Linked DNA regions of Arabidopsis thaliana. The protein of the gene in region 2 interacts with the protein of the main gene of each other region in a pairwise test. Each region holds a gene or a part of one and is shown on either strand. Other genes may lie near its edges.

Evidence for each region.
Region 1: the proteins of chx28 (region 2) and NRT1.8 interact in a protein complementation assay, tested with the Arabidopsis thaliana proteins (one large-scale study listed by BioGRID).

Annotation. Positions count from the first base shown.
Region 1 is NC_003075.7:11,516,851-11,521,760, forward strand, and holds NRT1.8 (NITRATE TRANSPORTER 1.8), read right to left. Parts: upstream 2,956-4,910; 5' UTR 2,727-2,955; coding exon 2,609-2,726; intron 2,509-2,608; coding exon 2,291-2,508; intron 2,210-2,290; coding exon 1,656-2,209; intron 1,570-1,655; coding exon 690-1,569; 3' UTR 503-689; downstream 1-502. Other genes in the region: CPL1 (C-terminal domain phosphatase-like 1), read left to right, coding at 1-72. UniProt on the Arabidopsis thaliana protein: Low-affinity nitrate transporter. Involved in nitrate removal from xylem sap. Not involved in oligopeptides transport.
Region 2 is NC_003074.8:19,313,021-19,318,542, reverse strand, and holds chx28 (cation/hydrogen exchanger 28), read right to left. Parts: upstream 3,578-5,522; 5' UTR 3,454-3,577; coding exon 3,283-3,453; intron 3,209-3,282; coding exon 2,204-3,208; intron 2,111-2,203; coding exon 1,505-2,110; intron 1,432-1,504; coding exon 808-1,431; 3' UTR 555-807; downstream 1-554. Other genes in the region: NRPB11 (DNA-directed RNA polymerase, RBP11-like protein), read left to right, coding at 43-132, 221-316, 442-474; AT3G52075 (uncharacterized protein), read left to right, coding at 5,123-5,296; AT3G52070 (RNA/RNP complex-1-interacting phosphatase), read right to left, coding at 5,446-5,522. UniProt on the Arabidopsis thaliana protein: May operate as a cation/H(+) antiporter.

The DNA.
Region 1 (4,910 bases), on a different chromosome or scaffold from region 2:
TCAAACAAGCGATTAAAGCCGGACTTTCAACGGTCTCTGCAACGGATGCCATCTTCGGGAAGATACTCTTAAAAATAAAACCATGTGAAGAACGAACCACATTCTACATTAATTCCATTCTCTTGGTAAAAACAGCTACCAAGACGAATTCTTTGTCAAGTTCCTTTCTTCGCCAAATGATGATCAAGACAGCGAGAGTTGCCTCTCTTGTATTGATGTAACAACAATTTGAGGCGGTTCGCGATTTTTGTATCATAGAAACTCTTGAGTTGAAGCATCAGCTCGAGTGGCCACAAAGATAAGACCTAAGGATGAACGTTTAGCTTGTTCTCAGGCTGTTAAGTTTCCACAAAGCTTTTTCTGCAGTTTCCATAGTTAACAGTCCTTGTTTTCACTACAACATTAAGAGCTTGATTTAATATTGTAAATTTTTACTGTTCTACTAGTAAGTGTTTAGGTTTTGACTGATTCAAAGGTTATGAGAAAAGTTACATAAACTATGTGTTGGAACTGTGGAATCAACTTATCCTTTATTGAGAAACATCAACTAAACTTTGCACAAGAGTATAACCCAAAAATAAAAACACAATAAGACCAGTTTATATCACAGAACAAGCTCAGCTTTAAACAAATTACTGTAAAAAGCTTCACAGCATTAAAATAAAACACAAAACTCTCTAGCTCCTGACTCAGACTTCCTCCTCTTCAGTTACGGACTCAGAGAAACTTGCTTCAGATTTAATATACTTGTACCATTTGGCACAAATCAAGTAAACCACGAAATCAGCAGCGGTTAGACCAGCTAAAAGGAAGTAGAATCTCTCCAAGTGTCCTTTGTTGAGATTTTCAGGAATCCAGCCATGCACATCATCTGTTGTAGAGATCTTCATGACAATGGAAACTAACAAACTGCTTACATAGTTCCCAAGAGATATTGAAGCCATACATAGCGCGCTTGCAAAGCTCTTTAGCCCGGTTGGTGCTTGGCTGTTGAAGAACTCGAGTTGACCAACGTACATGAACACTTCTGATGCACCTATCAACATGTACTGAGGTACTTGCCAAAAAATGCTCAAAGTGCTGGAGCTTGAGATCGAAGTAGCACTTTCCGGTTCCTTATTTTTCAGTCTGTGTATCTCTACGATTCCTGCGGAAATCATCGCCATTATCGCAATCACAAGCCCAATCCCCATCCTCTGAAGCTCAGTGAGACCTTTGTTGCGTTCTGTTTTGTTAAGTCTTGCAAAGAGTGGATCAAGAAACCGCCTGTATGCGAAGATGAAGAAGGCGACACTGAGAATGTCGAAACTAGACATGCTTGAAGCTGGAATCCGGAAGTTTTTGATGTTTGTCTTCATCGCTGCTCCTTGCACAACGAACAGTGAAGCCATTTGGGTGAAAACCACAGAGTAGAGGATGGTGCAGAGCCAGATTGGTAAGAGTCTTAATACACATTTCACTTCTTCGACTTGAGTCACCGAGCAGAGCCTCCATGGATCGTATTTCGATCCGCTCTCTACTTTCTCAGCCTCATCATCAGGTGTAACAATAGCAGCTCTATCCAAGAATCTGTAGAAAATAATAGAGAGAGAGTTAACACTGATCTTGACGATGGTTTCTGAGATTATAACAGAACTTTTAATTGGTTATCTTACCTGAAGCCTTTGGTATGAAGAATCTTCTTATCTCCAGTGTATTGAGTCTCAGAATCATAGAGATTCAACTCTTCATGGTGCACATCAATCTTAGCCTTTCTTGTTGCAGCAACCAACACTTGGCAGAATCTAGACCAAGGACTCTCTCTAGGCGTAAAGTGTCGGTACTTTGGCGTGCCAATCAAGAAAAGCACTAACCCCGCAAAAGCAGAGCCAGCAGACGCCCAAAATCCAAGCGGCCATTCCCCTTGATCCTCAAAGTAACCCAAGACAGTATTTGAGAAGAGCGATCCAAGATTCAGAGCCAAGTAAAAGTAACTGAAAAACGCGATTTTCGAGTGTCCTTCAACGGAATCCTCCGCATCAAACTGATCAGCTCCAAAAGTAGCTATGTTCGGCTGATAACCACCATACCCTAACGCGATTAGATACACCGACAGATAAAACAGAACCGTCTTAAACGTCGAATGAGGCTTACACGGCGAATCTTCAACTCCACAACCACTTGGTTCAAGCAATAACGCACCAGTAGATAAAGATAACATCATCAACCCCTATAATCCATTAAAACATGTTAACTTATTGTTAAAGAAACAAACCCTAGAAAAAGACAGAGCAGTGTTGAAGACACTTACTGCAACGAAACTTGCTTGAAAGATAGCACAAGTCTTGTAACGTCCCCAATAAGAGTCACTGAGGAAAGCACCAAGCAAAGAGAAGATATAGACAGTTCCTGTCCATTTACTAACATTATTAGCCGCTTCTGCATTGTCTTGTCCCATCACTCGAGTCAGAAACAGAACCAAATTCACTCCTACACCGAAGAACGCAAGCGTAGCTAGTCCTTGATTCACTATATCAACCAAAAACCCATTTCTTTAGAATCCAAAACACAACACTTTAAGACAAAGAACAGTGGTATATATAGAGAGAAAGAGAGAGAGAATCATTACCTAGAATGAGAATAGCAGTGAGCCATTTGCCGGTATTAGCTCGGATAGCTGGATTGCCGTGACGATCAACGCTACCGTCTTGAGTGCAAACCTCAAACTGTCTAACTTTTTGATCCATAGATTCGATTTGGTGTAGAGATATACTCAAAAAGATTCCTTATCTTGATGATCCTAATGATTATGATGATTATCCAGAGACCGGTTAAAGAGGAAACCGGTGGTTAGAGAACAAAAGGATCGAAAACTCAGGAATCGAGGAAAGTGAAGAAGTGAAAAGAGAAAGATATTTAATAGTGATATTGAGAGTTGCATTAAAAGTGTGAAGAAGAGAGCTTATATTTATAGAGAGCTCAGAAATTGAGTCAGAGAACTCAGAAGAGATCCTTTCTTTGACGTCTCTTTCTTTCTATGGTGTTTAATTTAATCAATTTAATTGTAAAGGTTTTGAAACGGGCTGCTAAAATATATGTTCGGTGGATTTTTCTCGACAGAATTTTGTTATCTCAATAATAATCATATGCTATTTTAATTTTTTAACTAGTTTTTATGAATAAAAATTAAAAGAGATAAATCTAAATGATCTTTTTCGTTCTAAAATATTTATTTAATACGAAAAGTAGTTATGTAAAAATTTTAATTTGAAGAGAATCTGACTTTGTGGGAAAAAAACGGAAATGCCACTGTTATATGCGAATAAAACCATAAATTACGGTATAGGAACTTAAAACGTAGTATTGAAAATTGGCATCCCTAAAATCTATGAAGAAGGAGAAACACCTGGTTAAAGGTAAGCCAAGCGAATGTGTGACCAGTTACACCTGGAGGGCTGCTGGAAGAGACTGATAAAATCAAAAAACATGAGGGAAAATAAAAAGAGTAAAAACCCCAAATAATTGTTCTTAAATAGGAAAAAAAAAAGAGGGGAAAAAGTGAAAGTAAGAAAGTTCCCCACTAAAACAGGATTTGGTGTCTCTTTCAAGCACGCTACGCTCGTGTGTAGCTGTATTCGATTACGACTTTCCTCACTCCTAACTTATATTATAATTGGTTCTATTCTTAATCCATGTTTAAGCCCTAATTTAAGTCTAAATCTTTGATACGTTTTGGTAATTTTCTTTTTGTTGTGTTAGATCCTTTTCTGTGTCTCACATATACTATGTTTTTATCTTTCTTTCTGATTTTTTTTTGTGAACAGAATTGTTTATCTTTCAAAAATAGGATTATATTTGATTTCATATTTGGATGGATAAATACAAACATGTTTGGTATTTGGCAATCCAAACTTTAATTTATACCAATTCGCTGATTGGTTAATTATGAAACCTAGATAAGTGAAAATATGAAATACATCTAAATCTTCTATAGTATTTTACGCAAATCTTATCTGTCGAATTAATGTCTAGATTCATTGAAGCTTGGGGATATTTACAAATTCCAGCTTTTTTACCTAAGAAAGTTAGACCTAAATCTGAATCGAACAATCTAAATTAATACACATTGTGTCAAAAAAATTTGGATCGAAGTTTTAATGATCACGAAAGAACTATGTTCTAGACTTCTAGTAATGTCCTATAACTTTGTTACGTCCTACTAAATTAAGTTAATTAACCATTCACAAGATACTACGTGCATCTTGGTTAAGAACAAGTTTAGGTTTAAAAAAAAAAAATGTTTAGGTTTAAATACTAAATGTAGAACAGTGGTAGTTTTGAACGGACATACCTTGATTTAGGTTTTGATATGGATGATCGGCAGTTGAAGTGTTAATATCGCCTGATTAAAATCCAATTTGTCCACGACAATTTACTAAGCAATACAAAGTCGTTCTCTTTATATATATATTTGTGTTGCATAAATCAAAATTCAATCATAACAACAAATAAAAATATATAATCAAAATCCAACACCTTATTTTAATAGGACTCAAATATGAGTTATAAATTCCTGATTCCCTGAGGATTTAGAGTTACAGTATATATATGAAATATTTCACTTAAGTTTATTTACTCTTCTCATTAGAGTACTTTTCAATTTAAAGTCTATTTACTCTCATGATTAGAATTAGTTCATGAAATCTTTACAAGTCTCAATGATGTAATATAACTATTTGGTTTATCGTGTCTTTGAACTTAAAATCAGACTAATATCTAAATATCTCTAAATCATCACGTAAAGTATGTGATGCGTATACTTGTATGTGAACATGGTAAATGGTTGTGCTGTATTGGAAGGAAAGTTTGGACTATACCATTTGAATAACTATGCGATTATATCATATATCAAAAGTTAATTTACGCCTAAC
Region 2 (5,522 bases):
TGCTATCCTCTGCGTTTTTTTCAGTTCATTGATTGACCTTAGGATCCAAAAGATTGGTTTAGGAACTTAAAAGTAGTGTATGGTTGTTTGGAAACCGTGAATATTTCTTGGTTTAAGCTTCTAGTGTTAACAGTTTCCTCTGGGATTACTGGTTGCTTAAGGACTTATAGAAAGATCTTGTATGTTGTTGTTTAATTGTGAAAGTGGTTTCTGTATGTAGATTCACACAACAAGCCAGTCTTCCCCAATGCAAGCATACAACCAGGCCATCAATGACTTGGACAAGGAGCTCGACTACTTGAAGAACCAGTTTGAGGTACATAAGTTTCTCTCTTCGGATATACTTATCTGATTATGTGGTTAATAAGCTAGACGAATATCAAATGCTATTGATGTTGTTTGATGTACCTGGTCTTATGGTATACCCTTCTGTGTTTTCAGGCAGAGGTGGCCAAGTTTTCGAATCAGTTTTAAGGAACTTGGAGTTCTCCATCAGCACATCGGGGAAAACGTTTTACATTGTCTTTTGCTAAGCACCAATCAAGACTAATAATGAGCTTGGGAAATTTTCCCTAGTTATGCTTTGTATAAATCAAAAACAAATCGGCCTGTAACTTCTTTTAACTCTATGTTTCAACACCATTTCAGGATGCTATGAAGTAATGCTTAGATTACCTCTTCTTTTTACCATTCTATCTACATAAACCGCTTAATGTTTGAACTATTGTACAAAGTCTCTTTAAGAGTTGTGATGGTGAAGCTACTACTCTTCCCAAGCTACTAAGTAAAGTGCATTTGTACAGATATTCACAGTATAGTGAAGTCATCATGAAGCCCTTCTAGCTGACCCCGAGTACGCTGCTGCTGAATAATTAACATTGATGTGTTGTGTGAGAAATCTGATCCTGAAAGAACGTCACCTATGGGACCAAGCTCTGGACATTGCTGCCAGTCGTTGAGGCCGGTGGTTAACCCACTGCTCGCTCTTCCCCCTCCTCTTCCTACAATCACCAGCCCATACTCTCCATCTAGTGATTTAAGAGCTGTGAAAGTCTCAGAGGAGTTGGTGAGATGCTTCTCCATGTAAGACACTCTTCCACCTCCAGCTATGTATCTTTCGTAGAACTCAGCAAAACATTCATCATCAAGCTTCATTTCCTCCTCTTGATCTACCACACTCGCTCTGTTCAGGATGCTGCTTCGTTTTTGTGCGTTTTGAGAGCTCTTGTCTTCCAAGAAACGTATAACCTTTAATTTCACAGCAGGATGTCGAGCCACTTGTGCAGCGAAGGCTAGTGCCTCTCGGTCGTCTCTGCCACCTATGAATATTATAGCAATGCCCATGGACGCTCCTGGTCTCCATGCCTCTTCTGTTTGCCCGAACGACCTATCCACAAGAATTCCTACTGAACATGGTGCGTTCTTCAGAATCTGCACACACAAATGCCAAATTATCTCTCTGAGAACTGAAAGAAACAGAGTATTACTGAGATGGAACAATTACCTTGCGGTTCACATGACGGAACCCAGCATGACCAGCATCGAGAGTACCATCAGGATTCAGCCGTTTATGGAACGGTAGAATTATAATGGAAACCATAAGTTCATCAGCCAAACCGCAGACGTCATGGGCCATGGTCACAAACGTGGACAACGCCAGCATCCGCCGCACTGTCACACCTTGTCCATTGCGGAGCTCTCCGTACCCATTCACAGCTGCCGTTATACTCTCTCTCATTTCCGTCACCGACCTATCCGTTACCGTCACTGAATCATTACTCTGACCGGCTCCTCCGCCCTTCTTCAGCGTGGCTGCAATCTCATCAGTCAACTCCACCATGTCAGTCGCATAGAATATGGAACCCGGCTCACGGCCACCATGGCAGATCTCCATAACGTTGAGCGTAGAACCAATGTTGTGGGGACCGTGGAGACCAATCAAGATCCGAAGTTCAGTTGTTGGATCGAGCCATTGAAGCGCCATGATGTGCACAGGCACCCGCTTTCTAGCGCGTTTGATGATGTCCATGACCACGAATGGGGAGTAGACCACCGTGAAGACAATGATAAATATGATCAATGCACCGGTCGTACTTTTCACCCTGTTAGTCTGCATTTGCATCAAACGAAAAAGAAAGAGAGTAAAGATCTTACTTTGATGATAGCTTAAATAACAAAACATAAAGAGAAAGCTTGATGGTACCCGAATGGCTAAAGCTGCCAAGTAGACATGAAAATGGCCTTTAGTGGTCAAAAGCAGTCCTAAGGATGCGGTTTCCGGGACATGATAACCGAGTAGTAAACCACACAAGACTGTTCCGGTGACTTTTCCGGCTATAACAGTGCCAAGAAGAGAAAAGAATCTTACCCACGCCATTTTGTCAGTAATGTCAAAGTTTCTCATGTGGATTATGAATCCAACCCAGAAGAAGAAGATAGGGTAGAAGACCGTGCTGAGCAAGTAATTGATTTTGTTGATGATCCATTTCGACATTCTTCCTTTGTTTGGAAGGAAGAGACCAGCCGTGAATGCACTGAGAATTGGGTTGTACATTGATTCAGGTGGCCAAGTTGGGAAACTGCAGATCAAGACGACAAATGCCAGGGACATAACAAGGTGTGACCCCTTGAGTGGTTTACCTTCAGGGTTCTCGTTGTTGACCCAATTAAGAAAGATTGGGGATACAATGGAAGTGAAAGTGACCTGAGCGAGGAAGAGGCAAAACATGAGGAGGGCTCTGAAGAATCTGTGGAGAGGACGAGCGAGAGGTTTCTCCGTAGGGAAGAAAATGAAGCCGAAGCAGTAAAGCAAGGTAGAGATCATGTCCGTATGGACACCTGCGGCTGATGCAAGTTTTCCAAGATCGGATTTTCTGATTTTGAGATTGGCGATGACGCGGGTTAGGATAGGAGAACCGGTGCTTGAGGCCATGAGGGAGAGGGCGAGGGAGAAAATGTAAGGAGAAGTTTTGGTATAGTGGAGGAAAGGAGTTGTGACAAAGGCGAGAACAAAGGTCGTGATCATGCTTGTGTAGGCAATGAATGCATCTTTGGTTGGTGGTCTGAGAAGAACGCTTGGATTCATCTCTAGACCCATGACAAACATATGGCAGATCATTCCAAATTCTATTATGTTGTTGAGGGTTATAGAGTAAGGCCCCGAGAATGCCCCTCGAAACCTTGGAATATTACCTAGAATTAGCCCTATCTGATGCATAGAAAATTTGAGTTAATATAGAAATCAAAAGAGATAGACAAAGAACAAAAAGATATTTGACATACAGCAAAGTCGGTGGTGAGGTAAGGTTGGCCTAGAGGCTTCATGAGATAATGGAGGAGAGTTCGGACGACGAAAATGGCAATGAATACAAGAATCTTCAATGCCTCTTCTGGCCTGTCTAGGTTAAGGTACCATTTGTCTCCACAAACGTTTTTTGTTGTAGTTGAATTCATCTTTTCTCTCTGTAGTTGCCTTATTCGTTCTTAGGGCTTATTGTAACGTGGGAGATGAAGAAAAGCTTTTCGATTTGTATGTGTGTTTCTTTTTTTCTTTTTTTCTGACTTTACAATTTGGTTTAGGGGTTTGAAAATGAAAGGATGTGATTGTTTTTACTCAGAAAATGGTGGAGACACTTGTGGATCCCTTTATTCACGTTCCTTCTCTCCCCATTATTCACCATTGACCATTCATGAAACAAAGATGACAAAGTTCAGACAAAATGTAAAATACACTACTTTAATATTTAACTACAATATTCTAGCTAACGATATAGTATTCTTTTATATAACATGAAAACGTAAAATGTTTGTTTGGGAGATGGACATTCAGTTTTAGTAAATTATCCGCTCAAATAACTCTCCTAGTGAACAACAAAGACGCAGCTCAAGCCTCAAGGCTTAAATAACAGAATTTATTTATAGGGGCTTGTTTTGACTTAAGTGAAAAGTTGAAGTCCTTTTTTGATATTTTACCAAAATCATCAGATCTCTCGATGGTCGTGAGTGACTTCGAAGACGACGACGACGAGTCACACTTCCCCTGAGCTTCTCGCTTCTCATACTCTGTAAGCTCACTCTCCTCTCCTCCAAATCCACAACGACGACCAAACTCTTGATTTTGTTTATACTGACTTCGACCATGTTTTTATGGGGTTTCTTCATTGAGTCTTTCTCGTCCGATTTGGTCGATCCTGGGACTTTTATATTACGATAGTGATAGTTTCTGGAAATCGAGCTAATAGTTTCTCAATTGTGCATAGTTGTTCTTACTTCTTAGTCAAGACCATTTCATTCAACCATCGTAATGAATGTCTGTGACTCTGTGTGTAGTTCAAATTCTGGGGCCAATGATTTAAACAGACATTGATTTTGGAACTCCGTGGTTCAATGCACGGCCAAGTTTATTAGAAACACTTTGGTTTGCTGGAGCTGAAACCGAATCAGTCAAGGATGGTGAGTTCCATTTTTGCATTGTGAGCCTTCTCAAAATGGTAGGTAGTCTTACCTACCTAAAGTTGATAGTAAAGCTGAGGTCTTAAATCTTGCGTTTCATGTGAACCTAATGAAAAAGAATATTTGGGAGGAAAGAAATTGAGTTTTCCTTTCTTTCTTTTGTTGCTTTAAAGCTGATTCATGCATGTTTATGTTAGTATACAGAGCTTTAAACAAGATTAAAAACTAAGGAGTGAAATGTCCTCTATGAACAGAGATACAAGTAATGGCCGGTTTAGCTATTGGTGTTTCCAGCATCAAGTCTGGTGAACGTGCGCTCTTGCATGTTTGCTGGGAATTTAGCATATAGGAGAGATGGAAACTCTTCTTTTTCCCAATGTTCCATCTATAGCGGAATTGTTAGATGACGCTGAAGTTGTTGGATTTGATGAAACAAAGGAGGAACGTTTTTTCTTTAAGATCATTTGCTGATTCTTGTTTCCTTACCTGAACACTCCACAACCAAGCTTTTATCCCAAGCTCTTTGCTTATAGCTGACTTAGAGGTTGGATTGTACAGGGAAAAGCTCGCAGTGATATGACTATGGAGGAAAGGTTTGGTGCAGCACACAGAAGGAAAATGGATGGGGCTCTCTGTTTAAGGAGGATAAATTGGAGGAGGCCAATACGAAATGGTTAGGAATCTCTCTTTCTTTCTAACAATTACGGTCAAAGTTTTGGTTTTCAAGGCATACTCAGCGACTCTGCCCGAGGCTCTTGCATCTCCTTTCGGCTCTAAAACAAAGAGCCTTAACTGGTTGATAGTGTTATCGCAATGGTTGGTTTGCCTTTTCTGCCGGAGTTAAAGCAGATAAAGAGGTATGAGAAGCTTAACAATTCAATTATATAAGACCAAAGTGAAAGATCACAACTCTCAATTCTCCTATGTCGGAATTGAATTTCTTATCTTATTACTGATTTGTGCAGAATTTACAAGGAGGAGCTAGCTTAGCTACTACCATGAAGATTTGGGGAAGCTGAGATGTTGCCAGGAGAAGTAAGCACAAACCAATAGTTGAGAGATATAAACAT